Linked DNA regions of Macaca fascicularis. The protein of the gene in region 1 purifies or fractionates together with the protein of each later gene. This does not show direct contact. Links are inferred from orthologs where the notes say so. Each region holds a gene or a part of one and is shown in the gene's direction. Other genes may lie near its edges. The genes, in order: ANAPC4, anaphase-promoting complex subunit 11, NEK2, ANAPC7, CCNA2, ANAPC16 and ANAPC13.

Region 1 (2,305 bases):
TTCATTACTAGGGGTAACCACAGAGGTAGCTGAGCAGAAGTGCTCCAATTTATATTCAAAATATGCTGGCCTTAATAGCTTTTTTTATCCCTTCGCTTTACTAGTAAATCAGGAAGTATTTGCTGGAATCAAGGTGGGGAATTATTTGGAGTGGAGAATGGGACTTCTTTTAGTTACGTTTTCAAGGATTGCATTAACCCTAGTTGGTTGGAATTAGTTATTTTTGATTTGCCTTCAGTATTTTCCTTCCAGAATTAAGACCTCAGTGCCCATGTGGGAAGTATACTGTCAATTCCAAGAGATGGCTTTAACTGAGACTTAAGTAAGCAGATCTCTAATTTAAAAATGTATCCATTTGCTTTCCTTGAAAGGGAGTCAGAAACCTTGCTAAAATGATATTCTGCCTATTTGGAATTGCAGTATTTTCTTTTTTTTTTTTTGAGACAGAGCTTGTGTCTGTCACCCAGGTTGGAGTGCAGTGATGCAATCATAGCTCATTGCAGCCTCAAACTCATGGGCTCAAGTGACCCTCCTGCCTCAGCCTCTCATAGCTGGGACTACAGGCATGTGCCACCTTGTCTGGCTAATTTTATTTTATTTTTTACAGAGATGGAGTCTCACTCTGTTGGCCAGGCCGGCCTTGAACTCCTGGACTCAAGCAGTCCTCCCACCTTGGCCTCGCAAAGTGCTGAGATTCCAGGCATGAGCCACTGTGCCCAGCCAGAATATAGAATATGGAATTTTTATAGAATATTATATCACAGCTCTTTTTTTAATACAACAGTTGCTAAAATTATATTGGAAGTGGAAGTATGAGTAGAAGTCAAAGCCATAATTGACCCTAATACCACCTGTAGCAAACTAGGGAGGAGAAGATCCCCTTTTCATTCCTGGGTGGGTTTTTTCCCTCTTTAGGCTAGATGAACAATGTAGTGCTATTCCCACCCGTACCATGCATTTCGAGAAGCATTGGAGATTACTGGAAAGTATGAAAGCACAGTATGTTGCTGGGAATGGTTTTCGAAAAGTATCCTGTGTGGTAAGTGTTTACAGATCGTTCAGCAACTAAGAAATTACAAGAAGTAACATTGCTTCTTTGGAACCTTCATCAAATACATGACATGTAAGGTCCTTTTGTGCAAATATTTTTGCTGTGATTTATAGCTTGTATTGATTATGGTCATGTGGACTTAGCTATTCTCTCGTTCTGATAAAGCTTACTAAGCAGTTAATAATTCTAGATTTTAATCTCATGAAATTGCCACTGTTGTTATGTGGAGACCTTTTTATACAAAATGAAGGCTGAGTTTATTGATTTTGTTGTAAATTGATGGGAATATGTTTCCTATAAAACCATTCTTTGATTCAGACTTCTGATTTCTAATTCCTTATATATGATATATTAGTTAAGCCATTAATTTAAAAGTGCTTTTATGGCCTTTCTTTTTTAGTTAAGCTCAAATCTTCGTCATGTGAGAGTATTTGAAATGGACATAGATGATGAATGGGAGCTCGATGAGTCTTCAGATGAAGAGGAGGAGGCTGGTAATAAGCCTGTAAAAATAAAGGAAGAAGTGTTGTCGGAGTCAGAGACAGAGAACCAACAAGCTGGTGCTGCTGCTTTCGCTCCGGAGATAGTCATTAAAGTGGAAAAACTTGACCCTGAGCTAGACTCTTAATCTAGCTTGCCATTGTTGTGTGTGTAATTATGGCCAGAAGGACATAGGAGATGGACTAAGATGTCTTGGACCACCTTTAATTTTCTTTGTGTAACAAAGAAATAAACAGTAAATTTTATTTTTTCATATTCTGCTTCATCTTCTCTTAGTGATACAGTCACTCTGATACACTTTATTTTTTCTGAGATTTCTCTTTAATGCTATGTACAGAACTAGTGTTTAAAGAAAACAGGGCCAGGCATGGTGGCTCACACCTGTAATCTCAGTACTTTGGGAGTCTGGGTGGGTGGCTCACTTGAAGTCAGGAGTTCAAGACCAGCCTGGCCAACATGGCAAAACCCAACTCTACTAAAAATACAGAAATGAGCTGGGCGTGGTGCACACACCTGTAATTCCAGCCACTTGGTAGGCTGAGGCATGAGAATCGGTTGAACCCGGGAGCCAGAGGTTGCAGCGGGCTGAGATCATGCCATTGCACTCCATCCAGCCTGGGTGACAGAGTGAGACTGTGTCTCAAAAAAGAAAGAAAGTGAACAAATTGAATGTGAAGAAAAAGTCTAATATTTTCTGTCAGAAGGGTAGGTATCAGGAATTGTTTCTGTATCAGGAAGAAATTACATTGAAAT
Region 2 (4,109 bases), on another chromosome or scaffold:
GTTTTGGTCCCTGTTAGAAACTGGAAGCCCTGGCTGGGGATGTTCACTCACAGAACCCATCTTCACACTATCAGCAGCAGTTCCTCAGGCTCGGCTAGGCTCGCACCTGCCTGCGGACTGAGCCCGGCTTTACTAGAGCTAGGTCTGTCCTGCAGCCCTTGAGAGCTGGGAGCGCTCCCTTCGCTAAGGCGGGAAGGGGACTCAGGGCCCCCTCCCCCAAATCACGATCGGTCCTGTGCAGGGCGAACGGCTCACCGAGAAGCCCTCGTCTCTTACCTGAATATCGGCGTCTGAAACTCCAAAATCCAGATTGGACACCAGCAGTTTCCCACCCGTCTCCACGCCGGCACCACCCCCGAAGCCACTGTCGAAAAGATCGTGCTGCCACTTGTCGGGAAGTTGTTTTGGCTGAAGAAAAAAAACCGCAACAACAGCAGATCCGTGAGTCTCAGTCCAGGCCTTTCCTGGCCCTCACGGCTACTCCGGACCCTTCCTCTTCCCGGCCTGAGAGGATCCGGCCGAGACGGGGCCGCCGGCGCTCCCTCCGGCGCAGCAGCTGCCCCAGCCCGAGGCGGCACGGTCCCACCGCGGCCGCACAACTTCAGTTCCCTTCGACTAACTTCCCGCCGCCGGTGCCGCGCCCAGCGTCCCCTCCTCTCCTGCCGCCACGAGGCCCCGGCGGCCGGAACAAACAAAGAGCCGGGAAGGGTCTCAGCCTCCGAGACCGGGCCCCGAAAGAACGACCTCGCTCCCGCCCACCACCCCCTCCGCGCCCACACGCACCCTCCGGACCTCCGGGCGGCCGCTCCACCGGCCCTATCTGTCCGCCGGCCCGGGTCTCCACCGCGAGACGCCCCGGCCCCGGCTGGTCCCCTCCCGCTCTCCGGCGCGGCCGGCCTCCGCACTCACCCTGCTGTAGGGCGCCGGTCGGTTCCTGCCGCCTCCGCCGGCCGCGCCGCGGGCGATGGCCGGCCGGTTCCGGATGGGCCCGCCGCCTCGACTCACTCGCGCGGCGGCCTGCGCCCCACCGCCGCGACCGCCCTGGGAGCCGGCCCGGCCGCGGCCCCGGCCCCCGCCGCGGCCGCCTCGTTGGCTCCGGTTCAGTTTAATGATGTCGTCCAGAGACATGTCCATTTTGTCGGCCATGGCGGGCGCGGAATCGGGCATCGGCTCGAGCCCGCGCGTCAGCACGCCGGCGCGTCACTTCCGGCGCCTCGTGAGGCCTTCCGGTGCCACGGCCTCGGAGCGACTGCTGATTGGCCGCCGGCGGACGGCTGCGCGCGCGGGACGGGGTGAGGCGGGAAGGCGCGTGCGCACTGGCTCGCGGGACTCGGCGGGCGCTGCTGAGGGAGCCGGGCCGCGACTGAGGTCGTTTTTATACCTTCCCGCGCGGACGCCGGCGCTGCCAACGGAAGGGCGGGCAGGGCGGCGCGTGATTAGGTTGGCGAAGGTGCGAGGGCGCAGGGGGTGGGGCGGCAGCCGTTGGGGGCGGAGCCTGCGCGCCCCTCCCTCCCCGCACGCCCCACCCGATCGCCCTGGGCTGGGGGCGCTGGGGGCCCTGCGGGCGCGGCGGGTGCCCGGCAGCCGCTGGGAGTCCTTGTTTCCGCTCCCGCCCGGGACTGTGCGCTCGGCTCGCGGCGGGGTCCAGCGGAGGACTCGGCGGGCGACAGCCGCCGCAGAAGAGCTGCGGGTTGGTTGTTTGGTCCCCACCTGCAGACCCCCGAGTCTGCACTCTCACAATTTGCTAGTCATATCCTTTACAAGTTTTCGTGCGCGGTCACGCCTGCAATCCCAGCGCTTTGCGAGGCCGAGGCAAGAGGTTCGCTTCAGCCCAGCAGTTTGAGACCAGCTGGGGCAACACAGTGAGACCCCATCTCTTAAAAAAAAAATTAGTTGAGGCCGAGACGGGCGGATCACGAGGTCAGGAGATCGAGACCATCCTGGCTAACACGGTGAAACCCCGTCTCTACTAAAAAATACAAAAAAACCCTAGCCGGGCGAGGTGGCGGGCGCCTGTAGTCCCAGCTACTCGGGAGGCTGAGGCAGGAGAATGGCGTAAGCCCGGGAGGCGGAGCTTGCAGTGAGCTGAGATCCGGCCACTGCACTCCAGCCTGGGCCACAGAGCGAGACTCCGTCTCAAAAAAAAAAAAAAAAAAAAAAAATTAGTTGGGTTTGGTGGTGCACTTTTGTACTACCAGCTACTTGGGAGGCCGAGGTGGGAGGATCGCTTGAGCCCAGGAGGTCGAGGCTGCAGTGAGCCATGATGGCACCACTGCACTCCAGCCTGGGTGACAGAGCCAGACCCTGTCTCCAAAAGAAATTATATGACATATTTGCAACTTATTAATGAAAACCAATGTGCTATTTCATGGAATTTTTTTTTTTTTTTTTTTTTTTTTTGGAGACAGTCTTCTTTCACCCAGGCTAGAGTGCAGTGGGGCAGTCTTGGCTCACTGCAACCACTGCCTCCTGGGTTCAAGCGATTCTCCTGCCTCAGCCTCCCAAGTAGCTGAGACTACAGGCATGTGCCACTACACCCAGCTAATTGTTGTATTTTTAGTAGAGAAATTAGTTGTATTTTTAGTAGAGACAGGGTTTCGCCATGTTGGTCAGGGTGGTCTTAAACTCCTGACTTCAGGTGATCCGCCCGCCTTGGCCTCCCAAAGTGCTGGGATTACAGGCGTGAGCCACCTACACCCAGCCCACTTCATGAATTTTAAGTTGTTTTGAGATATTTGCTTTTGTTTTTGTTTTTTGAGTCAGGGCCAGCCCATTTCATGGATTTAAGTTGTTTTGAGATACTTGCTTTTGTTTTTGTTTTTTGAGCCAGGGTCTCCCCTTGTCACCCAGACTGGAGTGCAGTGGTGTGATCTTGGCTCACTGCAGCCTTGAACTCCTGGGCTCCAGCTATCCTCTCGCCTCAGCCTCTCAGGCAGCTGGTGCATGCCACCACAGCAGGCTTTTTTTCTTTTTTTTTTTTTGAGACAGTCCCACTGTGTCGCCCAGGCTGGAGTGCAGTGCTGTGATCTTGGCTCACTGCAACCTCTGCCTCCTGGGTCCAAGCGATTTTTGTGCCTCAGCCTCCCGAATAGCTGGGTGCTGGGATTATAGGTGTGCGCCACCACGCCTGGCTAATTTTGTGTGTGTACGTGTGATGGAGCCTCACTCTGTTGCCCACGCTGGAATGCAATGGCATGATCTCGGCTCACTGTAACCTCTGCTTCCCAGGTTCAAGTGATTCTCCTGCCTCACCCTCCCGAGTAGCTGGGATAACAGGTGCCCACCACCACACCCGGCTAATTTTTTGTATTCTTAGTAGAGACAGGGTTTCAGTATGTTGGCCAGGCTGGTCTTGAACTCCTGACCTCAAGTGATCCACCTTCCTCGGCCTCCCAAAGTGCTGGGATTACAGGCATGAGCCGCCACCTGCAGCTAATATTTTTGTATTTTTGTAGAGACGGGGTTTTGTCATGTTGGCCAGACCCACTTGAGATCTTTGAAGATATCCTCAACATGAGGTAAAATGAAACTCCTGACAGTGTGACCTCTCTGTCCGTGAGGAGCTGAGTTCCCTCCCTGGGAGAGAAAAGTGTGCCCTTTCTCTAGACGGCTAAAGAAACCTCACAGATAGTTCTTTCTTTTCCTTTTCTTCTTTTTTTTTTGGTAGAGACAGTCTCACTATGTTACACAGGCTGGTCTCAAACTCCTGGGCTCAGGCGATCCTCCCAAGTTGGCCTCCCAGAGTGCTGGGATTACACTCGTGAGCCACAGTGGATTGCTGCCAGGGCTCGCTGTTCTGCAGTAGCTCCCCTGTAGCCCTGACCCTCTGTACCCAGAGCCCTTTACCTGTTATTTGTTTTAATAGAAATGGGGCTCACAGCAGGGCACGGTGGTTCACGCCTGTAATCCCAGTACTTTGGGAGGCTGAGGCGGCAGATCGCTTGAGGCCAGGAGTTTAAGACCAGCCTGGCCTACGTGGTGAAACCTCGACTACTAAAAGTACAAAAATTAGTCTGGTGTGGAGTCGCGTGCCTATAGTCTCAGCTACTCAGGAGGCAGAGGCACAAGAAATGAGGTGAGATCATGCCACTGCGCTCCAGCCTGGGTGA
Region 3 (4,255 bases), on another chromosome or scaffold:
TACCGATCTGTAAGAGGCACAAAAATAAAAAATGATGCTAATTAACATAGCCATCTGCAGTGCCTTACATAACTTTTGAAACCTAAAATTGTCCTATTCCCCTGAGGTAAGACAGTACCCTTGAATGTTAATTTAAAAATTCTCCTGGTTGGCAATTCCAGTTATCTTATGTTATATTCAGTGCATGTAGTAAGTCCCTTATTTTAACATAAAGAGCTTTTAAATTCTTATTAATAGAAAATCAGGTTTCTTTTAATCCTATGCCAAATAGATATTTAAAGAAAACTGGCCTGTTTATGCATTGCCAAATTATTAGCTTTCTGGTAATGTACGTATTTCTCCAACAAGCCCTGGATGGAGGCCTCTAGGTGCTCCTTCCCTGGTAAACATGGGACTGTTCATTTGGCTGGGTAAGCTGGGAAAGTTGGTTTGTGTGGGTGCCTAACAAAGAATCTGTGTTCAATGAAGTATTGTCAATAGGGTGAATTATGTGTTTGGCACACATAAACGGGACAAGATGTGTAAAGTGCTTGGTCAGAGAGCGACTGTATTTCTTCTTCTTTTTTTTTTTTTTTTGGAGACTGGGTCTCACTGTGTCACTCAGGCTGGAGTGCAGTGGCGCAATCTCTGCTCACTGTAACCTCTGCCTCCCGGGTTCAAGCAGTTCCTCATGACTCAGCCACCCAAGAAGCTGGGATTACAGACATGCACCCCCATGCTCGGTTAATTTTTTTTTTCTTCATTTTTAGTAGAGACGGGGTTTCGCCATGTTGGCCAGGCTGGTCTTGAACTCTTGGCCTCAAGCAATCCCAATCCGCCTGCCTCGGCCTCCCAAAGTGCTAGGATTATAGGCGTGAGCCACTGCGCCCGGCCTAATTTTCGTATTTTCAGTAGAGACGAGGTTTGCTATATTGCCCAGGCTGGTCTGAACTCCTGGGCTCAAGCGTTCCACCCACCTCGGCTTCCCAAAGTGCTAGGGTTACGGGCGAGGGTGAGTCACGGCGCCCAGTCTAATTTCTAATTTGTATTCAGCTCTCAGCGTGTCCTCAACGTGACCCCACCCAGGTTCAGGGTACTGGAACCTGAGCGAGGAAGGCGTGTTCCGGGGAGAGTAGGTAGTGTGAGGGGCCAGAGTGCAAAGGTCAGAAGGCATTTGGTGGAAGCTGTGTGCAAAGAAGCCTGAGGGGAGGTCCTTCGATCTCGGTTACCTTGGCGATCTCTACCAGAGGGTTAGAGTTGCCAAGAGGCGCCTGCTGCCGCTTCCTTTCTCCCGCCCTCCCTTTGGTTTAGCTCCGCCCCCTGCTCCCACAGGTTAAAAGCAGACGCCGACGCGGCTGCCTAGTGACACTTTTCCCAAGATGCCTAGGGTATTGTTGTGTTCTTCTTAGCCAATCAGAGAGGCGAAGCGGGCCCACCGCCTGCCAATAGACTGCGAGATCAGGGCCCGCGACAGTTAAACGGGGCCGAAGGCAAGGGTGACTGGTTAGCGCTGCTCGGGGGCTTCTCCGTGCTGGTCCCTGAAGCTCCCGGTCCCGGTCCCTGGAGCTCCGCATTTGGGGGCGCAACCTGCGTGAGGCAGCGCGACTCTGGCGACTGGCCGGCCATGCCGTCCCGGGCTGAGGACTATGAAGTGTTATACACCATTGGCACAGGCTCCTATGGCCGCTGCCAGAAGATCCGGAGGAAGAGTGACGGCAAGGTGAGCGTGGTCCCTTCCCTGTGCCAGCCCCTGCTTAGGGGCGAGCGCCCTGCGCCACCGAAGGGAACCGAGAGGGCTGGTGAAGTGGGTGCCCGGAAGACTCAGCCGTCTTTACTGAGTCTGCATCTGACAGCCTGTCCTGGGTCGCTTAAAGGATGGGAGACCGCGTCTTTTGATATATGTATTTCCATCTTTTCCCGTTTCTCTCCCCATTTCTCTCTTCTGTTTTGGGTTGCTAAGGACCTTCCATTGGTGACACGTAGCTAACTCCTGAGCTGTTTTTAGAGCTCTAAGAGTGGCCCTCTCAGACACAAGAAAGGGGCAGGACCACCAGAACCCGAAGCTTTGTATCTGCAGTCAGACTCCCTCAAAATACCCATTATTCGGATTATTGGATTCATATTTCCCAATGTATACAGGTAGACCTTTTACAGAAAGTAATATTGGACAGGAAACTGCCTGGCTGCTTTTCCAAGGTGTCTCATCCTGGGAAAACACGACTGAGGTGGAATGGGGCAGGGACTTTGACCACCTCCACCCCAATTTTGACTAAAGTACCTTTTTGCCAACTTCCCACTAACCAACTGAGGGTAGGGGTTGGGGGAGACCTCATGTGCCTTATTCCCCTTTATCTCCCTACAACATCATTTACTGCTTAGAAATTGAAAGAAGATTATGGAAGTAAACTCACAGTTCTTTAAGTTCATTGAACTAAATTAGATAATGACCTTGATTGTAGGATATAATTAAAAGGAAGGTTATTTTTTAAATCTTGGAACTTTCATTCTTTGTTTTTGAGCGTAATGAGTTCATTCATACCTTGGAAATTCTTATTTTAGATATTAGTTTGGAAAGAACTTGACTATGGCTCCATGACAGAAACTGAGAAACAGATGCTTGTTTCTGAAGTGAATTTGCTTCGTGAACTGAAACATCCAAACATCGTTCGTTACTATGATCGAATTATTGACCGGACCAACACAACACTGTACATTGTAATGGAATATTGTGAAGGAGGGGATCTGGCTAGTGTGATTACAAAGGGAACCAAGGAAAGGTAAGCATAATCTTTTAAAAATGTAAGCTGAAATTAGGTCTACTTTCATTTATTTTAAGCATCTTGTTTTAGGATCAGTAATATGGAAGAGTATACTTGCATTTGTTTGGTAGGTCCATAGTACTTTAGAAAATTCCCGGTGAATCAACACCCATATTTTATATCAAAATAACAATCTATAGGCTGAGTGTGGTGGCTCACACCTGTCATCCCAACACTTTGGAAGGCCGATGCAGGAGGATCACTTGAGCCCAGGATTTCAAGATCAGCCTGGGCAACATAGTAGGACCCTGTTTCTACAAGAATTAGCCAGGTATGGTGACATGTGCCTGTAGTCTAAGCTACTTGGGAGGCTGAGGCAAGAGGATTGCTTGAGCCTGGGAGGTCGAGGCTGCAGTGAGCCATGATCGTGCCACTGCATTCCAGCCAGGGTGACAGAGCAAGGCTCTGTCTCAAAAAATATAAATAAATAAATAAATAATTTATTTCCCTATTAGTACACTGGATAATTTATATCATCCCATCTTGGCAACGATTTTTTTTTTTTTTTAGAAGTTATATGCTGTATAACTGCTTTGGTTTCAGGCAATACTTAGATGAAGAGTTTGTTCTTCGAGTGATGACTCAGTTGACTCTGGCCCTGAAGGAATGCCACAGACGAAGCGATGGTGGTCATACTGTATTGCATCGGGATCTGAAACCAGCCAATGTTTTCCTGGATGGCAAGCAAAACGTCAAGCTTGGAGACTTTGGGCTAGCTAGAATATTAAACCACGACACGAGTTTTGCAAAAACATTTGTTGGCACACCTTATTACATGTCTCCTGTAAGTATTTCAGAATTTAGATACTTTTTAAAACATCTTTTATTTTTGTTTTTTTGTTTGTTTTTGAGACAGAGTCTCGCTCTGTTGCCCAGGCTGGAGTGGAGTGGTACGATCTCGGCTCACTGCAACCTCTGCCTCCTGGGTTCAAAGGATTCTCTTGCATCAGCCTCCCGAGTAGAGTAGCTGGGACGACAGGTGCATGTCACCATGCCCGGCTAATTTTTGTATGTTTAGTAGAGACAGGGTTTCATCATGTTGGCCAGGCTGGTCTCAAACTCCTGACCTCAAGCAATCTGCCCACTTCAGCCTCCCAAATTGTTGGGATTATAGGCGTGAGCCACCGCTCCCAGCCAAAACATCTTTTAATGTTAAGCATTCTGAAGCAGGGAAATTGAGTTTTCTGTTTGTTTAAGAATTGAAAATACTGTTATATTTTTCCACATGGACCACCAGACCAATAAAGTCTATGAGTTTTTGTTTGCTTCATGAATTATGTGTAATAATGTAAGTATGATGAAGACAGATTCCTACTCTAAGGTTTGCTACTGTTTGTCATCTCTCAGTGGGTTCAATTTTTTGAGCATTCATGCAAATTAAAGCATATTCAGTTCAAGCTTTTATGGAATGATTACAATGCATTAAACTTAAGGATTACAAAAATGAAATGGATTTT
Region 4 (4,101 bases), on another chromosome or scaffold:
ACAAAGCCTGTTTGGTGGTTTCTTCACACGGACGTGCGTGACAGTGGTGGCAGGTGCCTGTAATCCCAGCTTCTCAGGAAGCTGAGGCAGGGAGAATCACTTGAACCCGGGAGGCAGAGGTTGCAGTGAGCTGAGATTTTGAACTCCAACCTGGGCGACAAAAGCAAAACTCCATCTCAAAAAAAAAAGAAAAGTTCACAGTGATCATGCCTACCAAAATCACATCAAAGGTCTCATACATCCAGAAAACTAGAGTAGGGGATGAGATGGGAAAAGGATCACAGGAGCTTCAACTGTGACAAAATGTAAGAGCTGAAAAAGTTGACTGGTGAAGATATACCGTGATTTTTTCAGAGCATTTTTTTTTTTGCATCTGTTACTCTAAAAATCAAATGAAAACAAAATATAGACCAAAACAACTGTCTCCTTCAAGAAAGGAGCGAAAGGCTATATCTGAGAGGGTGATTGTGGAGGATATTGGGATTCTGATTCAAATACCTAAACTGCCTCATTGGCTCAGTTACCTCCCTGGTCTCTGTATACATTCGAGTTTGCGATCCATCACATTTAACCACTGGCGATCTGATTCCAAGTCAACCATTTAACAACCTGAGCACAAAATTTAAGCAGGCAGTTTCTTCCCTTGTGAGAAGGGAAAGACAACTTCAACTTTATGGATTGTTGTGAACGTCCAATAACTTGTGTAAAACTTTTGTAAAAAGTTAACTGTGCCAGACACATGCTGGTTTATATGGGTATCAGCTAATTCCTGGATCTAGTCTTTATTTCCACGGATTTAGGGAATCATTTTACATGGTAAAATACGCCCCTCGAATTAACAAGTTCATCCAGGGACAAAGCCTGACTTTAGCAGGAACACAAAACACCTGAGCAGGGAGGCGGCGGCCCCTGCCTGGTGCGCATGCGCGACTGTAAAAGCCGTTAGGTCTGTCCCTGGCGCCCGATTAGAATATTTAATTCCAGTTGGAGCGCTTTTCCTCACCTTACTATATTTTATTTCTGGTAAGTGCTCACACATTTTAATTTCTGAGAGGCCCAAATTCCTCTCAGACTCATTCAAATTGACCAAGTAGTCTTACTAAGGTGACTTTTGTCTCATTGTAAGTCCTCAGTAAATTTTGCAGTTTAGGATGATGACGTAATTTTTGCGTAAAAGTAACAACTCATTTCACCGGAAAGGGACCACGACAGGAGCAGGGACTCGAGTTTCTTTTTATTCGGGCACTTCAGTAGTTACCTTTTGCTTGGGGGCGGTGCCGCGTGTGGACCCGATGGACCCCGGCGACGCGGCCATTTTGGAGTCTTCCCTAAGGATCCCTTACCGGTTTTTCGAGACAGTGCTGCCGCCGCTGCCCGCGGCCTTGCAGGGCAGGATGAATGTGATAGACCACGTGCGGGACATGGCGGCCGCGGGGCTGCACTCCAACGTGCGGCTCCTCAGCAGCTTGTTACTTACAATGAGCAATAACAACCCGTGAGTTGAGGCGGGGAGCGGCCTGGGGCTGAGGAGAAAGCGGCAGTGGTCTGGGACCGGGGGCTCAGGGCACGCGGGAACAGGCGGGAAGGAGCGGCCTCCCGCACCAGCGGAGGCTCCGGCGTCTGCGAGGGCGTAGTGGAGCGGAGCAGACTTCGGAGCGCAAGTTGGGTTCACTGGGTGCCGGCGTCAAGTCCCTGCGGAGATGTGGCGAGCGGCGGCTTGGAGAAATAGAAGGCAGAGGCTCTGAGGACGACCCAGGCGAGGGTTTTCTGAGGCACCTGTCGCGGGGTAGCGCGACTGTCACATCGCTGGGCCGAATCCTCCCCTCTCGGCTCCTTCCAGAGAACGTTTTTTTCTCTCGCTGCAGCTCCGGGACCCAGCCTCCTGGTTTTTATGCTCTAGCCCCGCATCTGAGATTGGTCACCCCATTAAGTGTATCAGGAGGGTCCACTTTCTCGCCTTGGGAAACCCCTGAAAACGGGGCCGGGCGCGATGGCTCACGCCTCTAATACCAGCACTTTGGGAGGCCGAGGCGGGAGGATCGCTTGAGCCCAGGAGTTAAGACTAACCTGGGCAACATAGGGAGACCCTGCCTCTATGAAAAATAAAAATTAAACAATTAGCCGGGCGTGATTGTGCGTGCCTGAGTTCCCAGCTACTCGGGAGGCTGAAGCAGGAGGATTGCTTGAGCCCAGAAGGTCGAGGCTGCAGTGAGCCGTGATCGCATCACTGTCCTTTACCGTGTGCGACAGAACGACAGCCTGTCTCAAAAAAGAAACGGGAGATTCCATTAATGGGTGGGCGTGGCGCCTTTCTTGTTTCATTGAAGCACTGGGCTGATTCCATCCTTGAGTGTCCATCCTTAAGTACATGTCCCTCTCCTGCTTAAAATCCTTCACTGGCTGGTTGCAGTGGCTCAAGCCTGTAATCCCAGCACTTTGGGAGGCCGAGGCAGGCGGATCACGAGGTCAGGAGATCGAGATCATCCTGGCTAACACGGTGAAACCCTGTCTCTACTAAAAAAATACAAAAAAATTAGCCGGGTGTGGTGGCGGGCACCTGTAGTCCCAGCTACTGGGGAGGCTGAGGCAGAAGAATGGCGGGAACCCGGGAGGCAGAGCTTGCAGTGAGCCGAGATCGCGCCGCTGCACTCCAGTCTGGGCGACAGAGCGAGACTCCGTCTTAAAAAAAAAAAAAAATCATTTATTGCACTAATGAAAATTATTTCCCATGGCCTCCGAAAGGAACTATCTGCCCTTCACTCTCTGCTACTTCATCTCATTACTGTGTTCACTGCTCTCCAGCCTCTCTGGCTATTCTTTCTGTTATTTATTTATTTTTATTTATTTTTGTTTTTTTTTGAGACAGAGCCTTGCTCTGTCGCCCAGGCTGGATGGAGTTCAGTGGCGCGATCTCGGCTCACTGCAGCCTCCGCCTCCTGGGTTCAAGCGATTCTCCTGCCTCAGCTTCCCAAGTAGCTGGGATTACAGGCGAGCGCCACATGCCCAGGTAATTTTTGTAATTTTAGTAGAAACGGAGTTTCAATATATTGACCAGTCTGGTCTTGAACTCCTGACCTCAGGTGATCCCACCACCTCGGCCTCCCAAAATTTTGGGATTACAGGCGTGAGCCACCGCGCTTGGCCTCTTTGTGTTATTTGAATGTACCAAGCGTGTTCTCTGGGCCCTTGTACTTGCTGTTCCTGCTGCAACGGTCCTTATCTCAGCGCTGCCTCCTCCTTCAGGTTTTAGCCTGAACATCTCTCCTAGAGAACCTTCTCTGACTCCCAGGACTCTCAGGTACTCCCACTTTTCTACCCTTCGCATCGCCTAGCAATTGAAAGCACAGTGGATGTGCGCATTAAGCACTCACATGCTTATTGAGTGTGTTGAGGAAGTGAGTACAACTTCAGGGAGGTGAAATACCCTTGTCTGAGTTCACACATCTAATAAATGGAGGAGTACAATGTCTGGACCTGGTCTTCTCTGACTGGAGAGTCTCCATTCTGAGCCACCAGTCTGCTACCTCCAAATGGCATTATCATGGAAACTTCTACTCTGTAGATGTATTAGTGTTTGGCCTGCTATAGAAGCTGGTCTAGGTCAGAAGGGAAAGGTCCTTAAAGTGCTTACAATGCAGCTGCTGCTGCCCATTGGATTTTCATGAGTGTGCTTTGGTGTTTTGTTTTGCTTTTCAGTCAGAGTCTTGCTCTGTTGCCCAGGCTGGAGTGCAGTGGTGCGATCTTGGCTCACTACAGCCTCCACCTCCCAGGCTCAAGCGATCCTCCCACCTCAGCCTCCTGAGTAACAGGGATTACAGATTCGCACCACCACGCCTGGCTAATTTTTTTTTTTTTTTATAGAGATGGAGTTTTATCATGTTGACCAGGCTTGTCTCGAACTCCTGACCTCAAGTGATCCCCATGACTTAGGCCTCCCAAAGTGCTTGGATTACAGGCGTGAGCCACCGAGCCCGGCCTCATTAGTGTGCTTTGGACCTTACTAGTGAGACCCATCATTTTGCCACCATCCACTTCATGTTGACAGGAGCCCTGGTCTCTGTCAGCCTTCTGTGTTTATTCTGGAACCTTTCACTTGGTTCT
Region 5 (4,283 bases), about 100 Mb from region 1:
AAGAGGACATGCTAGTACTTTATAAAGCTGGGACCAGAACCCAAGTACTGGTACTTGCTTTGTGTCCTGGTTACTATGTATGTTGCCAGCTAGTGGAAGTAACCTACCAATTATTTTTTCTAGGAGATAGGATTGATTTGCAACTGATTTTCCTTTTGCTTGGTGATGTTTTATGACTCTGCTGCAGTTTGTGGAAATGCTGGACTTGGCTCAGTGCTATAAATTGTAGTCAGGGAAATAAGAGCTTACACAGAGTCGGGGGATCTTAACTAGACATGCTGTAACCAGTGGAGCTATTCAAGCATGCTACAAGTGAAGAGTGCAGAAATAGTGATGCCATCTTAGATTTTCCTATACCAGTATGATCTCTTTTTATCATATATGACATTAAGGCTACAGAAGTTTTGTACATTAATCTTAATTCATATTTATTAATTTCAAAGAAATATTGAAACGTCTTAAAATGGCATAAAGATAATGGAAAATAAGCTTTGTTTCAAGAAGGGCAGACTCACTAATTTTTTAGAAAACAATGCTTCTTAATGATATGCTATTATACTTACTAGGTACGTGCAAGCTTTGTATATAAATATTAAAATTTGTTACAGGCACATATATAGTTAAGAGAATTTTATTTTAATAAGATCATATTGTTTTTACTATATTTAAAGAAACTTTACTTCTGAAAGGAACATAATTTATCTAGGTCACTAGAATGTCATTGTATTTTTTGTTGGCTGCCACAGCTTGGGGAAAAATAGATAAAAATTAATGACTCTATTTGAATATTTTGTAATGCATTGTATATTTATTATATATATATCAACAGTAGTTCAAGGTGGCACTTAATTGCATCTTCATTAGGAAAAATAAAAAGCATAAAACACAATTTCTGGTTACTATGAATAAATGCCTAAATGTTAAGATATTACTACAGTCTGACACTTGAGTACTGTATTACTTACTATGTGAGCTCCGTGTTAATTTATGCACATTATTTAATCCTAATAACCGTTTGACTGTAGTTATTAGTCCCTATTAACAAATAAGAAAACGGAGAATCGGAGATACTGAAAAACGTGGTCCAGATTTTAGACCTTGGGAAAAAGTCACTTGAGCTAACTAGAGGTCCCAGAGCTAAAGGCTGGGCAGCCCAAATGATAGTCGCCAAAGTTTAATTCCGCTTAATTCCCTAAAAGGCTTAGAGTCAGCCTTTGGACCGCCTCGCTCTCTAGGTGGCTCAAAGTAATCGGAAGCTCGGGCCCTGAGTACCCCTAGCTCTCCCCGACCCGCGCAGGCGTTTTCTCCCGCCCCAGCCCCAGTTCGTTTCTCCCTCCTGCCCCGCCCCTGCTCAGAGTCCTTTGGTGCTTCCTTCATTCGCTTGCGACCCTGTCGCCTCGAATGACGTCAAGGCCGCGAGCGCTTTCATTGGTCCATTTCAATAGTCGCGGGATACTTGAACTGCAAGAACAGCCGCCGCTCCGGCGGGCTGCTCGCTACATCTCGGGGTGTCTTTGGCCCGCCACGCCCGGCCGTGCCTTCCTGCGCCTTTCGCAACCTCCTCGACCCTGCGTGGTCTCGAGCTGGGTGAGCGGGCGGGCGGGTAGGCTGGCCTGGGCTGCGACCGGCGGCTACGACTGTTCTTTGGCCGGGTGGGCTGGGCAGAGTGCACGCTGCTTGGCGCCGCAGGCTGATCCCGCCGTCCACTCCCGGGAGCAGTGATGTTGGGCAACTCCGCGCCGGGGCCTGCGACCCGCGAGGCGGGCTCAGCGCTACTAGCATTGCAGCAGACTGCGCTCCAAGAGGACCAGGAGAATATCAACCCGGAAAAGGCAGCGCCCGTCCAGCAACCGCGGACCCGGGCCGCGCTGGCGGTACTGAAGGCCGGGAACCCGCGGGGTCTAGCGCAGCAGCAGAGGCCGAAGACGCGACGGGTAAAGGGATGCGGGATGTCTGCAGGAGGGTGGGTCGAGCAGGGTTTGGCACTGGCTTAGCAGGCAGAGAAGAGTGGCGAGAAGGCATGTCCTGGGCTTTTGGAAGGGGGCCAGAGTCTGGAGTCCACTTGGTGCTGGTGTGTGGGATGCCACAATAGGAATTCTCCCATTATTAGCATCAGGACCCCGCCAACACTGTGTATGCTGCCTGTCTGCTCTCTATAGGTGGCATCTGCCTGTACATAATGGGGTCAAACCAAGCTCTAAAACGTGTAGTCTTCGCTCAGCTCCGCGCCTTTCTCTCCACTTTTAAACCCCAGGCACTACTGTAGGACTCTGACCCCCCTCCTCCTCATGGTTAAGAGATAACCTCTACTTTAGAAAAGGGTGTACGAAATAACTTTGCTTTTGGCAAATTCCGCCATTTTAGCCGGATTTGCTCTGTTGCTCCACCCTCGGGCGACAGTGGTGAACCAACACTTTTTTGCCATGTCTTTCCTAAACTTGTCATGTATTGACTTGCCACCCGACCCTTCTTGTGGCCCTGATTAGTTTTGCATAATTCCACCTAGTGTTATCTATTGATAGCCTTTGTGGGAATGCCTGTGACAAATGGGAACATCCCTTCTCTTTTGAATACTCAAACTATTGTTTGTCCCAGAAAGTTTAATTCCTGATAGAGTATTTGGGAGAAAAAGCAAAGGCCAACACCCATAAGAGAAAGAATGCAAAACTATTTAGTAGGCTCAAAGCCAGTTATTTATTTTTGTTTAGGTTGCACCCCTTAAGGATCTTCCTGTAAATGATGAGCATGTCACCGTTCCTCCTTGGAAAGCAAACAGTAAACAGCCTGCGTTCACCATTCATGTGGATGAAGCAGAAAAAGAGACTCAGAAGAAGCCAGCTGAATCTCAAAAAACGGAGCGTGAAGATGCCCTGGCTTTTAATTCAGCCATTAGTTTACCTGGACCCAGAAAACCATTGGTCCCTCTTGATTATCCAATGGATGGTAGTTTTGGTAAGTTTTAAGGAAAATCTATATGAATTTACGGTAATTATAATTATTAGATATTAATGATTTGCATTTTAAGATGTCTTATGTAGTCATTTTGATTACAGTGAGTTAGGTTTAATGTAACAAGGCTTAGAAAGGATGTGACTTATCTCAGATCTCACAGCTAACACTCGACCTGGTGATGTACAAAAGGATCCTAACCTAGTGCTCTTTCAGGTTCACTGCCAGTCACATCAGTCTAATTATAATTAGATCTTAAATGCTTATTTTAATCTGATCCCATAAATGTGTTCTTGGTTGGGAGAATAGATTTCAGTTTTATTTAACTCACTTATATATCACTTAGAGAGTGCTATTTGAAGATGCAGTCTTAAATATTGTGATTACATAACATCTCTTCCAGTTTTATAATTTTGTTTCTATAAAACCAGTCTGGATTATCATCTGATACCAGAAGGTGACACTTTTCCTCCTACAAGTAAACAGTTGTACCATGGCTGTTTACTCTTACCCATGTATTAAAGTAGCTGCTGCAAACAGCTCTTTGCAGTTTGTACTGTTTCTTTGCCCTAGGGATATCGAGTCACTGGACAGCTCACTAAATCCAGTCTCATTTTAGTTTTAGTTGTATAGATCGTGGGGAAGGAGGGGTGAGCAGGAAAAGTCCTTTGGAAATAATAATTTGTGTGTTTTTATCAAAATTTTGCAGAAAATGTTTAATCTCAAGGTGATCTTTGAAGCGAAAAGAATAATGGATGATACTCTTTGCTTCAAAAGATAATTTATACTACAAAAAATAAATTTATAGTGTTAATCCATTTGCCCATAACAAACCTAATTTCTTAATAACACTTGTTAATGGAGGCCATTTAACTGATTCTAGCTATCGCCTAATTGGGCTTTGTATATGTCAGACTCTGGGATCTGCAGTCTCTCTTAGGGCAAATCTTAGATATTATCTCAAAACTTGGATTTTAAATGTTCTGTCCTAACAGAACCACCATGCCATCTGCTCCTTTCTGTTGTGGAAGATGGATACTTTAAGATAATACCTGATTCTCGTTTTCCTGTTAGGGGCCTACTAATATGGTTTTCTTTCCCCCTTCATTAACTAAAATCATTCCAAAGCTATATGTACAGAGATACTGAGACTAAGGTAAAATATTCTACCTTTTTCGTCATGAGAAGCTCTTTTTAGTTTGATGAAATAAGTGCTTTGTTAATATGAAATTCCTTACAAGGGCAGTCATTTTTAGCTATTAAACTAAGTAGACAAACAATTAATTTAATCATATCTTTTTAATTGTCCCAGAGTCACCACATACTATGGACAT
Region 6 (3,391 bases), on another chromosome or scaffold:
TTTTTTAAGAACAGAGCACATCCGGGCCGGGTGCGGTAGCTCACACCTCTTATCTCAGCATTTTGGGAGGCTGAAGCAAGACGACTGCTTGAGCCCAGGAGTTCAAGACTGACCTGGGCAACATGGTGAGAACCCATCTCTAAATATATATATATATATATATATAAAATTAGTGGAGAGTGGTGGCACATGCCTGTGGTCCCAGCTACTTGGGAGGCTGGCGTGGGAGGATTGCTTGAACCCAGGAGGCATACTCCAGCCTTCATGACAGAGTGAGACCCTGTCTCTGGGAAAAAAAAGAATAGGGCACATCCTGAAAATGTGATCATTTTATTTTAAAATGACTTTTTTATTTTTTGAGATGGAGTCTCTCACTGTCTCCTGGGCTGGAATATAATGGCATGATCATGGCTCACTACAACCTTCGCCTCCTGGGTTCAAGTGATTCTCCTTCCTCAGCCTCCCAAATAGCTGGGACTACAGGCACCCACCACCACGCCCAGATAATTTTTGTACTTTTAGTAGAGACGGGGTTTCACCCACCATGTTAGCCAGGATGGTCTCGATCTCTTGACCTTGTGATCCACCTGCCTTGGCATCCCAAAGTGCTGGGATTATAGGCATGAGCCACCATGCCCAGCCTAAAATGACTTTTAACATTAGAAGAAACTCCGACTTAAAAAAAAAAAGGCCAGGCGCTGTGGCTCACGCCTGTAATCCCAGCACTTTGGGAGGCCGAGGCAGGCGGATCACAAGGTCAGGAGATCAAGACCATTCTGGCTAACACGGTGAAACGCCGTCTCTACTAAAAATACAAAAAAATTAGCTGGGCATGGTGGCAGGTGCCTGTAGTCCTAGCTACTCGGGAGGCTGAGGCAGGAGAATGGTGTGAACCCGGGAGGCGGAGCTTGCAGTGAGCCGAGATCGCGCCACTGCACTCCAGCCTAGGCAACAGAGCAAGACTCCGTCTCAAAAAAAAAAAAGAATAGGCCGGGCACAGTGGCTCACGCCTGTAATCCCAACACTTTGGGAGGCCAAGGCGGGCGGATCACCTGAGGTCGGGAGTTCCAGACCAGCCTGACCAACATGGAGAAACCCCATTTCTGCTAAAAATACAAAATTAGCCAGGCATGGTGGCGTATGCCTGTAATCCCAGCTACTCGGGAGGCTGAGGCAGGAGAATCGCTTGGACTCGGGAGGCAGAGGTTGCAGTGAGCTGAGATCATGCCATTGTACTCCAGCCTGGGCAACAAAAGTGAAACTCTGTCTCAAAAAAAAAGAAAAAAGAAAAAAAAAATTAAGCTTCTGACCAGCATAGAATAAGACCCCATTATGAGAATTTTGAGGGTCAGGCGCAGTGGCTCACATCTGTAATCCCAGCACTTTGGGAGGCCGAGGCAGGCAGATCACCTGAGGTCAGGAGTTCGAGACTAGCCTGGCAAACATGGTGAAATCCCATCTCTACAAAAATACAAAACTTAGCCGGGCACTGGTGGATGCCTGTAGTCCCAGCTACTTAGGAGGCTGAGGCGGGAGAATCACTTGAACCCAGGAGGCGGATGCTGCAGTGAGCTGAGATGGCGCCATTGCACTGCAACCTGGGCAACAAAGCAAGTCCATCCCCCCGCAAAAAAAAAAAAAAAGAGAGAATCTTGAGGGGAAAAAAAATCCATCTAGAAATTGACTTTTTTTTTGAGACGGAGTCTCACTCTCTGTCGCCAGGCTGGAATGCAGTGGGACAATCTTGGTTCACTGCAACCTCTGCCTCCAGGGTTCAAGCGATTCTCCTGCCTCAGCCTCCCGAGTAGCTGGGACTACAGGCGCATGCCACCACATCCAGCTAAATTTTTTGTATTTTTATAGAGGCAAAGTTTCACCATGTTGGTCAGGATCGTCTCGATCTCTTGACCTCGTTATCCGCCCGCCTCGTCTTCCCAAAGTGCTGGGATTACAGGCATGATCCACCGCACTCGGCCTAGAAATTATTTTTATACCAGTCATCATCTTGGTGGCTGGTGGCAGTCTCATGGGTAATACATTGTTGTATAGTATTTTCTCCTCGACTCTTTACAGATCAGCAAGTTGCTCGGATGGAAAAACTAGCTGGTTTGGTAGAAGAGCTGGAGGCTGACGAGTGGCGGTTTAAGCCCATCGAGCAGCTGCTGGGATTCACCCCATCTTCAGGTTGATGCTGCCTGGATGGTCGCCTCTGGTGCGCAGCAAGTGCAAAGCCAGTGGGGGACTTTCTCACAGCTTGCATAGCCATCCAGAGATCCACAGCTACATCGCTGAATTGTTAATGCACATTTGTACTTGGTTTCTCTGTATCTATTCACAGGCAACAAATACTTATATGTATGATCTTTCAGGGAATATTTTGTTTGTTTTTAAAAGTATTGGGAATCAGATTAAGACAGTCGGTTTCAGAGAACCAAGAGGTTTGGGGTTAAGAGATACTTAAAAATTTTCACAAGCCAGGTAGGGCATATATCAGATTTGGCCAACTGATTGGCATCTGTCCTGTCATCCATACGGTGCCTGGAAATATTCACCAGTCAAGGTCAAGGTCAGCATCTGTGGTTAAAAATACAGCATTCTGACCTAAAAAATTATTTTGCAGATGAATGTGATTTCAACTCAGGAGCTATCCAAATGAGGATTAAATATTCATTTTTTTTCCTATTTTTAGACATCAATTCTATAGATTCTAACTTTTTCTAACCTCTTCTTGACATGCTAAATGCTGGCAAAAAGAAGTGCTTTTTGGATATGGCAACACTTGTAAAAATAAAGCAGTAAGCAAAATCCTTTTAAACACAGAAATCCTGAGTTCTTCTCATTGGTGGACTCAAGCAATTCTGTAGCAAATAAATCCTTTGAAAGAGCTCCAAGTTGGTGGCTTTATTCTTTCAAAATCTGAGGGATTTGGGATGAGGCAAAGAGGTCAAATTACTTTTTAGAAGAAGAGAATCTAAAAACCGTTTCTCCTAAACAAATGGTAGACTGGCTTTTCTTCAGGGATATGTGTCTTTATAGGAATACATGAATTTATCTTACTGATAATTTAAGTAGGTTTTTTTTTTTTTTTTTTTTTTTTTTTTTTTTTTTTTTTAAGAAACAAGGTGTTGCTCTGTTGCCCAGTTGGTCTTGAACTCCTGGCCTCAAGAGATCCCCCCCGCACCTCGGCCTCCAAAGCGCTAGGATTACAGGCATGAGCCACTGTGCCTGGCCTCAAGTAAGTTTTTATACCATGATAGGGAAAAACCTGGAAGGCTAAGAGATGTACTTTGTTTTCCCTCATGGGACCCCACGTTCCACAGTAAACAACTGGGATAATCATATATTACCTTGTATGCAAATTTTGCCTTAGACAGCATTTGTCTGTTCCTTG
Region 7 (4,230 bases), on another chromosome or scaffold:
GTTGGTAGGTAATGCTCACTCGCCTGTCACTCACCTCCTGCTCTGTAACCTGGTTCCTAACAGGCCACGGACTGGTAGTGCTCTGCAGCCCCGGGTTTGGGGGCCCCTGGTTTAGAAGCCATAAAGGCAACAGAGATACCTGTTAAAGGATACTGTGCAATGTAATCTGCTAAATTTAGAACTGTAAGGAAAAATAGGGGCTAATCCCATAGCTATAGCTATGAGGGAACTGCTATAGATTAAAAGATGTCAAATATGCATCACCCAAACACAACAGGCAGATCCCTGTGGGATTTTGGTTCAAACAAGCTAACTGCAAAAAAGACATTTAAGAGAGAGTTGAAGAAATCGTAATCTGACTGGACATTGACATTAGAGAATTTTCATTAATTTGTGTATGTGTAATGACAGTAGTGTGGCTTTGCAAAACTGAAAGACCTAGCTCCTGACGGGGGCGGGCAGGGGACTAAAATAACATAAAGATCGGAAATTCAGTTCCTGAAACCTTGTGTCAATGTTGGCTTTAGCTGAATTCCAAATCAAGTTGACATTTTTTGAAAGCAGGAAGCAATGACAGAGTGGACTACTGATGCTGTCACCATCTGCCAGCACAACGTAAATTAGAACAGAAAGGACTAAGCAAAGGCATTCCACCTTTTAAAGAGAGAAAATGGCATCAGTACAATCAACATATACAATTTTTACAAACAACTTTTAGAGTTGCATCTACATACATTTTAAAAGGCAGTGTGCCTGTTTATAAATCTCTACCCCATTTTAGTTTCAGAGCCTTTTTTACTACCCTGATCACTGATCATGCCACAGTCAAAAGGCAATCTCAAAAATTAATCTAAAAATAGTACTGCATTCCAAATAAGAAAATATATATACTTTGTTTTACTATTAAGCTACAGCTAACAGAAATCTAATCAACGATCCTTGATTTTCTCTTACCTAAAAAATAAACGCAAGCACGTGAGGAACTGTATAAATACAGAGCATCTACCCTACAATACTGCTTTATAAAAGAATAAATTCTTTTAATAAGTTTAACCGGACATAAAGCTCAGGGAAAACTACTTTGTGCATATTAGTGTACGGTGCTTAAACTATACAAGATGACTAGTCTCTGACATCATACACATCTTTACTCTCCTGATGTCGTATACGACATAAAAAAAACCACATTATAAGCCTAAATGTACTGTCTTCAAGTATCTCCATGATTAAAGTGTTCCTAAGAAACCGTCCTTGTTTCTTTCTATCCCTGATCTGTGTGCATGGAGCAGTTAGTTCAGGGTTCTCCAATTTCAGTCCACGATTTCTGCCATAATTCCGTACCTGCTGTACTAAACATAACCGTTTACACCAACTCACTATTTTAAAAGCTGCCAACCTTAACATGCCACCCTAAATGAGCGGGTCCCCTTGTGCCGTGAATGAAGTAGTCCTAACAGCGCTAGCTAAACAGCAGCCCTGGCCGGGAGGCCGCACAGGGGTACCTCCGCTGAAAAGAAAGGTGGGTCCGCCGGGAAAGGTGAGTACTGGGCGCAGCTCGCCCGCCCACCTGGCTACTCTCCGAAGCGCCCCCAGCCACCCGGCCTCCGAGGAAACGCTGTGACCACCTGGCGGGGCCGAACCGCGCGCCGGGCTGCGCCATGCCGGACTACGCCGGTGTGCAGGGCATAGCGGGCCAGGCCGAGGGACGGGGCTCCGGGGCGGACGCGAGCCGGCGGGGAGGCGCCTGGTGGTTCGCAGACTGTTGCGCGAACCGGCCGCAAGCCATGAGGCCGCGAAGCCAGAGTCACCAAGGCAGCCTGGGCCGCCTCCGGACCAGGACGCGCTCGCCCCTTGCGCTTCCGTCTTGCGCACGGGCGGTTACACGGCTGCAGCAAGCGCATCCCTCAGCCTTCCCGCCGTTACCTCGGCCGTGCACTGCGCACGCGCGCCACCACTAAGCTTACGTCCAGCCTCAGCAGTCGGAGCGTTCGTTCCGCCCACTGCCCCCACACTTTTAATAATTGAATCAATGTCTGCTCCAGACTTCCCCTGCACGCGAGCAAATGGACTCACCCACATCCGGGAATCCGAGAAAGAGCGTGCAGACGCGTGATGCGGTGCGAGGCAGGAGGAAGCGTCTGCCGCGCTGGGCCGCGTAACGGTAAGGGTTTGCAGCGCCCCCGGCCTAGGTTTTGGAGGCGCGGGAATGCGTTCGTGGCTCAGTGTCGGACTTCCCCCTATTTCCATCGGCCGAGGCTGTCACTTTACGCTCATAACCGTTTTCTTTACTGCACGCTGTGTCGGGAGGAAAGGGACTTGCTTGGCACCCCAGACCTCCCCGTCTCCGCTTCCACGTTTGGTACATCCTGCGTCAGGCCGGAAGCCGCGGCTGAGGGGCGGCCTCTCGTACAGTGTGGTGGCCTGCGAGGCTCATTTCTAGCAAGGAACAATATTTTTCCCGCTTTGACCTTACAGATACATGTTTACAAAGCTATAATGTATAGAAATGGATAAGACATGTCCCTGTCCCGGGAAACGCAGGCACTGCGTGTCTGGAAAGACATACATCTGGGCTGTTTGACAGGCTACCTAGTTGGTGCCATGCTCTGTGCTTAGGGAACTATGAGATCCCCGGTGGGTACCGGGACCGCGCTCAGCCTGAGGTTTGGAGGCGGCCTCCTGCAGGAAGCGACTTGAGACCTGAGATTTTTAGACTGACTATGGGTTCGCTGGAATAAAAAGGAAGAAACAAACAGCATTGCAGGCATCGGGACTGTCACGTGTAAGAAAAGTTTGTTCAGGAAACAGTTGTCGTATTGTGTGACGAGTACTTGGGACGGTGGCTGTGCCTTGGGCGTTGATTATCTTGTTGCTTTCCATCCTTCCAGCCCCTTAAGAGTGAAGGCACCTTCACGCCTAACCCCGGAAATGGGATGTTGACCTCCAAGAGCTGACGCCTGCGTTGATCTTGAAAGGAAGAGTGGCATTAGTGATGTGGAAAGGGGGGTTTTAACTGTCAAGGCTGGAAAATGTGACAGGGTTTGAGGTGTTTGGAGAAGGGACAGGTGAAAAAGATTGAGGCCAAATTGTAGAAAGATCTACTAAGGAATCCTGGGTACAAAATGTACACATAACAGTTGGAGACAATAATACCTGAGCAATTGATCACAAAGCTTGTTTAGTAGATTTAAGTTAGGACAAGAAGCAAGAGTTCAAGGATAGAAGGCCTACTGAAGCTCGAGTGATCTGAGAAAACCTTACTAAAAGGTGGAAAACCTATGTGGGCCTGGGAAAGTCAGGTTTGGATCAGCTGAGGAAAGTGAAAAGGGTATCCCAGGAGACACAGCAGCAAGGACAAAGGAGTAGCAGCAGGAAAGTGGGGAGCTCTTATAAGACAGGGACTTCAAAAGTATAACCAAAACTTCGTCTTGCTTTGAGTTATCCACTGGGTAGTAGGGGGTTAATTATTGAGTACTGGATTAATTAAGCCCTCACCTGGCTCACCGGTGACAAGTAGCAGGGCGCGTTTTGCTTAAGTTTTGCCCAGATCTTTTAAACCCTTTCCTACACACCAATCTGTGTATAATTTTTGCCAAGGTGTTGGGGATATCTTGCAGTTATCCTATGGGGGACATCTGTGAGCCTTTTTTTTTTTTTTTTTTTTGAGACCAAGTCTTTTTTTTTTTTTTTTTTTTTTGAGACGGAGTCTTGCTCTGTCACCCAGGCTGGAGTGCAGTGGCCAGATCTCGGCTCATTGCAAGCTCCGCCTCCCGGGTTCATGCCATTCTCCTGCCTCAGCCTCCCGAATAGCTGGGACTACAGGTGCCTGCCACCACGCCCGGCTAATTTTTTGTGTTTTTAGTAGAGACGGGGTTTCACCGTGTTAGCCAGGATAGTCTCGATCTCCTGACCTCGTGATCCGCCCACCTCGGCCTCCCAAAGTGCTGGGATTACAGGCGTGAGCCACCGCGCCCGGCCATGTGAGCCATTTTTACAAAAACTTCCACCTGCCTTGGCCCAAACCTCAGCATTCTTAGGCACAGGAGCTCATGAACATACTGAGATAACACTAAAATGGACTATGGGAAGGGACCAACTACAGACCTGACACAAATCCTCAAGGCAAGACGATGTCTGAAGTTGACCTTGTAAAGGAAAAGGCTTCCTTCCTTAAAATAGCACCCAGGCTGAGCTCTGAAAAAAGCACCTCAAGATGGTGGGTTCCACCCC

Evidence for each region.
Region 2: the proteins of ANAPC4 (region 1) and anaphase-promoting complex subunit 11 purify together in Homo sapiens (affinity purification with mass spectrometry; 8 studies listed by BioGRID and IntAct, with this or other methods). This does not show direct contact. The link is inferred for Macaca fascicularis from reciprocal best matches to the Homo sapiens genes ANAPC4 and ANAPC11.
Region 3: the proteins of ANAPC4 (region 1) and NEK2 purify together in Homo sapiens (affinity purification with mass spectrometry; 6 studies listed by BioGRID and IntAct, with this or other methods). This does not show direct contact. The link is inferred for Macaca fascicularis from reciprocal best matches to the Homo sapiens genes ANAPC4 and NEK2.
Region 4: the proteins of ANAPC4 (region 1) and ANAPC7 purify together in Homo sapiens (affinity purification with western blotting; 14 studies listed by BioGRID and IntAct, with this or other methods). This does not show direct contact. The link is inferred for Macaca fascicularis from reciprocal best matches to the Homo sapiens genes ANAPC4 and ANAPC7.
Region 5: the proteins of ANAPC4 (region 1) and CCNA2 purify together in Homo sapiens (affinity purification with western blotting; 3 studies listed by BioGRID). This does not show direct contact. The link is inferred for Macaca fascicularis from reciprocal best matches to the Homo sapiens genes ANAPC4 and CCNA2.
Region 6: the proteins of ANAPC4 (region 1) and ANAPC16 purify together in Homo sapiens (co-immunoprecipitation; 10 studies listed by BioGRID and IntAct, with this or other methods). This does not show direct contact. The link is inferred for Macaca fascicularis from reciprocal best matches to the Homo sapiens genes ANAPC4 and ANAPC16.
Region 7: the proteins of ANAPC4 (region 1) and ANAPC13 purify together in Homo sapiens (affinity purification with mass spectrometry; 9 studies listed by BioGRID and IntAct, counting the BioPlex papers as one, with this or other methods). This does not show direct contact. The link is inferred for Macaca fascicularis from reciprocal best matches to the Homo sapiens genes ANAPC4 and ANAPC13.

What each region holds. Positions count from the first base shown.
Region 1 is NC_088379.1:24,532,265-24,534,569, forward strand, and holds the end of ANAPC4 (anaphase-promoting complex subunit 4), read left to right. Parts: intron 1-915; coding exon 916-1,039; intron 1,040-1,451; coding exon 1,452-1,679; 3' UTR 1,680-1,805; downstream 1,806-2,305. UniProt on the Homo sapiens protein: Component of the anaphase promoting complex/cyclosome (APC/C), a cell cycle-regulated E3 ubiquitin ligase that controls progression through mitosis and the G1 phase of the cell cycle.
Region 2 is NC_088390.1:88,270,450-88,274,558, forward strand, and holds the start of anaphase-promoting complex subunit 11, read left to right. Parts: upstream 1-1,309; 5' UTR 1,310-1,690; intron 1,691-3,455; exon of another isoform or gene 3,456-3,518; intron 3,519-4,109. Other genes in the region: ALYREF (THO complex subunit 4), read right to left, coding at 277-408, 910-1,167. UniProt on the Homo sapiens protein: Together with the cullin protein ANAPC2, constitutes the catalytic component of the anaphase promoting complex/cyclosome (APC/C), a cell cycle-regulated E3 ubiquitin ligase that controls progression through mitosis and the G1 phase of the cell cycle.
Region 3 is NC_088375.1:69,486,037-69,490,291, reverse strand, and holds the start of NEK2 (serine/threonine-protein kinase Nek2), read left to right. Parts: upstream 1-1,455; 5' UTR 1,456-1,603; coding exon 1,604-1,699; intron 1,700-2,538; coding exon 2,539-2,756; intron 2,757-3,341; coding exon 3,342-3,582; intron 3,583-4,255. UniProt on the Homo sapiens protein: Protein kinase which is involved in the control of centrosome separation and bipolar spindle formation in mitotic cells and chromatin condensation in meiotic cells.
Region 4 is NC_088385.1:117,273,664-117,277,764, reverse strand, and holds the start of ANAPC7 (anaphase-promoting complex subunit 7), read left to right. Parts: upstream 1-1,301; 5' UTR 1,302-1,394; coding exon 1,395-1,495; exon of another isoform or gene 1,496-2,295; intron 2,296-3,243; exon of another isoform or gene 3,244-3,298; intron 3,299-4,101. UniProt on the Homo sapiens protein: Component of the anaphase promoting complex/cyclosome (APC/C), a cell cycle-regulated E3 ubiquitin ligase that controls progression through mitosis and the G1 phase of the cell cycle.
Region 5 is NC_088379.1:126,897,726-126,902,008, reverse strand, and holds the start of CCNA2 (cyclin-A2), read left to right. Parts: upstream 1-1,483; 5' UTR 1,484-1,721; coding exon 1,722-1,934; intron 1,935-2,708; coding exon 2,709-2,952; intron 2,953-4,261; coding exon 4,262-4,283. UniProt on the Homo sapiens protein: Cyclin which controls both the G1/S and the G2/M transition phases of the cell cycle. Functions through the formation of specific serine/threonine protein kinase holoenzyme complexes with the cyclin-dependent protein kinases CDK1 or CDK2.
Region 6 is NC_088383.1:74,182,332-74,185,722, reverse strand, and holds the end of ANAPC16 (anaphase-promoting complex subunit 16), read left to right. Parts: intron 1-2,073; coding exon 2,074-2,189; 3' UTR 2,190-2,891; downstream 2,892-3,391. UniProt on the Homo sapiens protein: Component of the anaphase promoting complex/cyclosome (APC/C), a cell cycle-regulated E3 ubiquitin ligase that controls progression through mitosis and the G1 phase of the cell cycle.
Region 7 is NC_088376.1:37,392,895-37,397,124, reverse strand, and holds the start of ANAPC13 (anaphase-promoting complex subunit 13), read left to right. Parts: upstream 1-1,430; 5' UTR 1,431-1,537; intron 1,538-1,567; coding exon of another isoform or gene 1,568-1,901; exon of another isoform or gene 1,902-2,073; coding exon of another isoform or gene 2,074-2,247; exon of another isoform or gene 2,248-2,782; intron 2,783-4,230. Other genes in the region: CEP63 (centrosomal protein of 63 kDa), read right to left, coding at 1,626-1,901. UniProt on the Homo sapiens protein: Component of the anaphase promoting complex/cyclosome (APC/C), a cell cycle-regulated E3 ubiquitin ligase that controls progression through mitosis and the G1 phase of the cell cycle.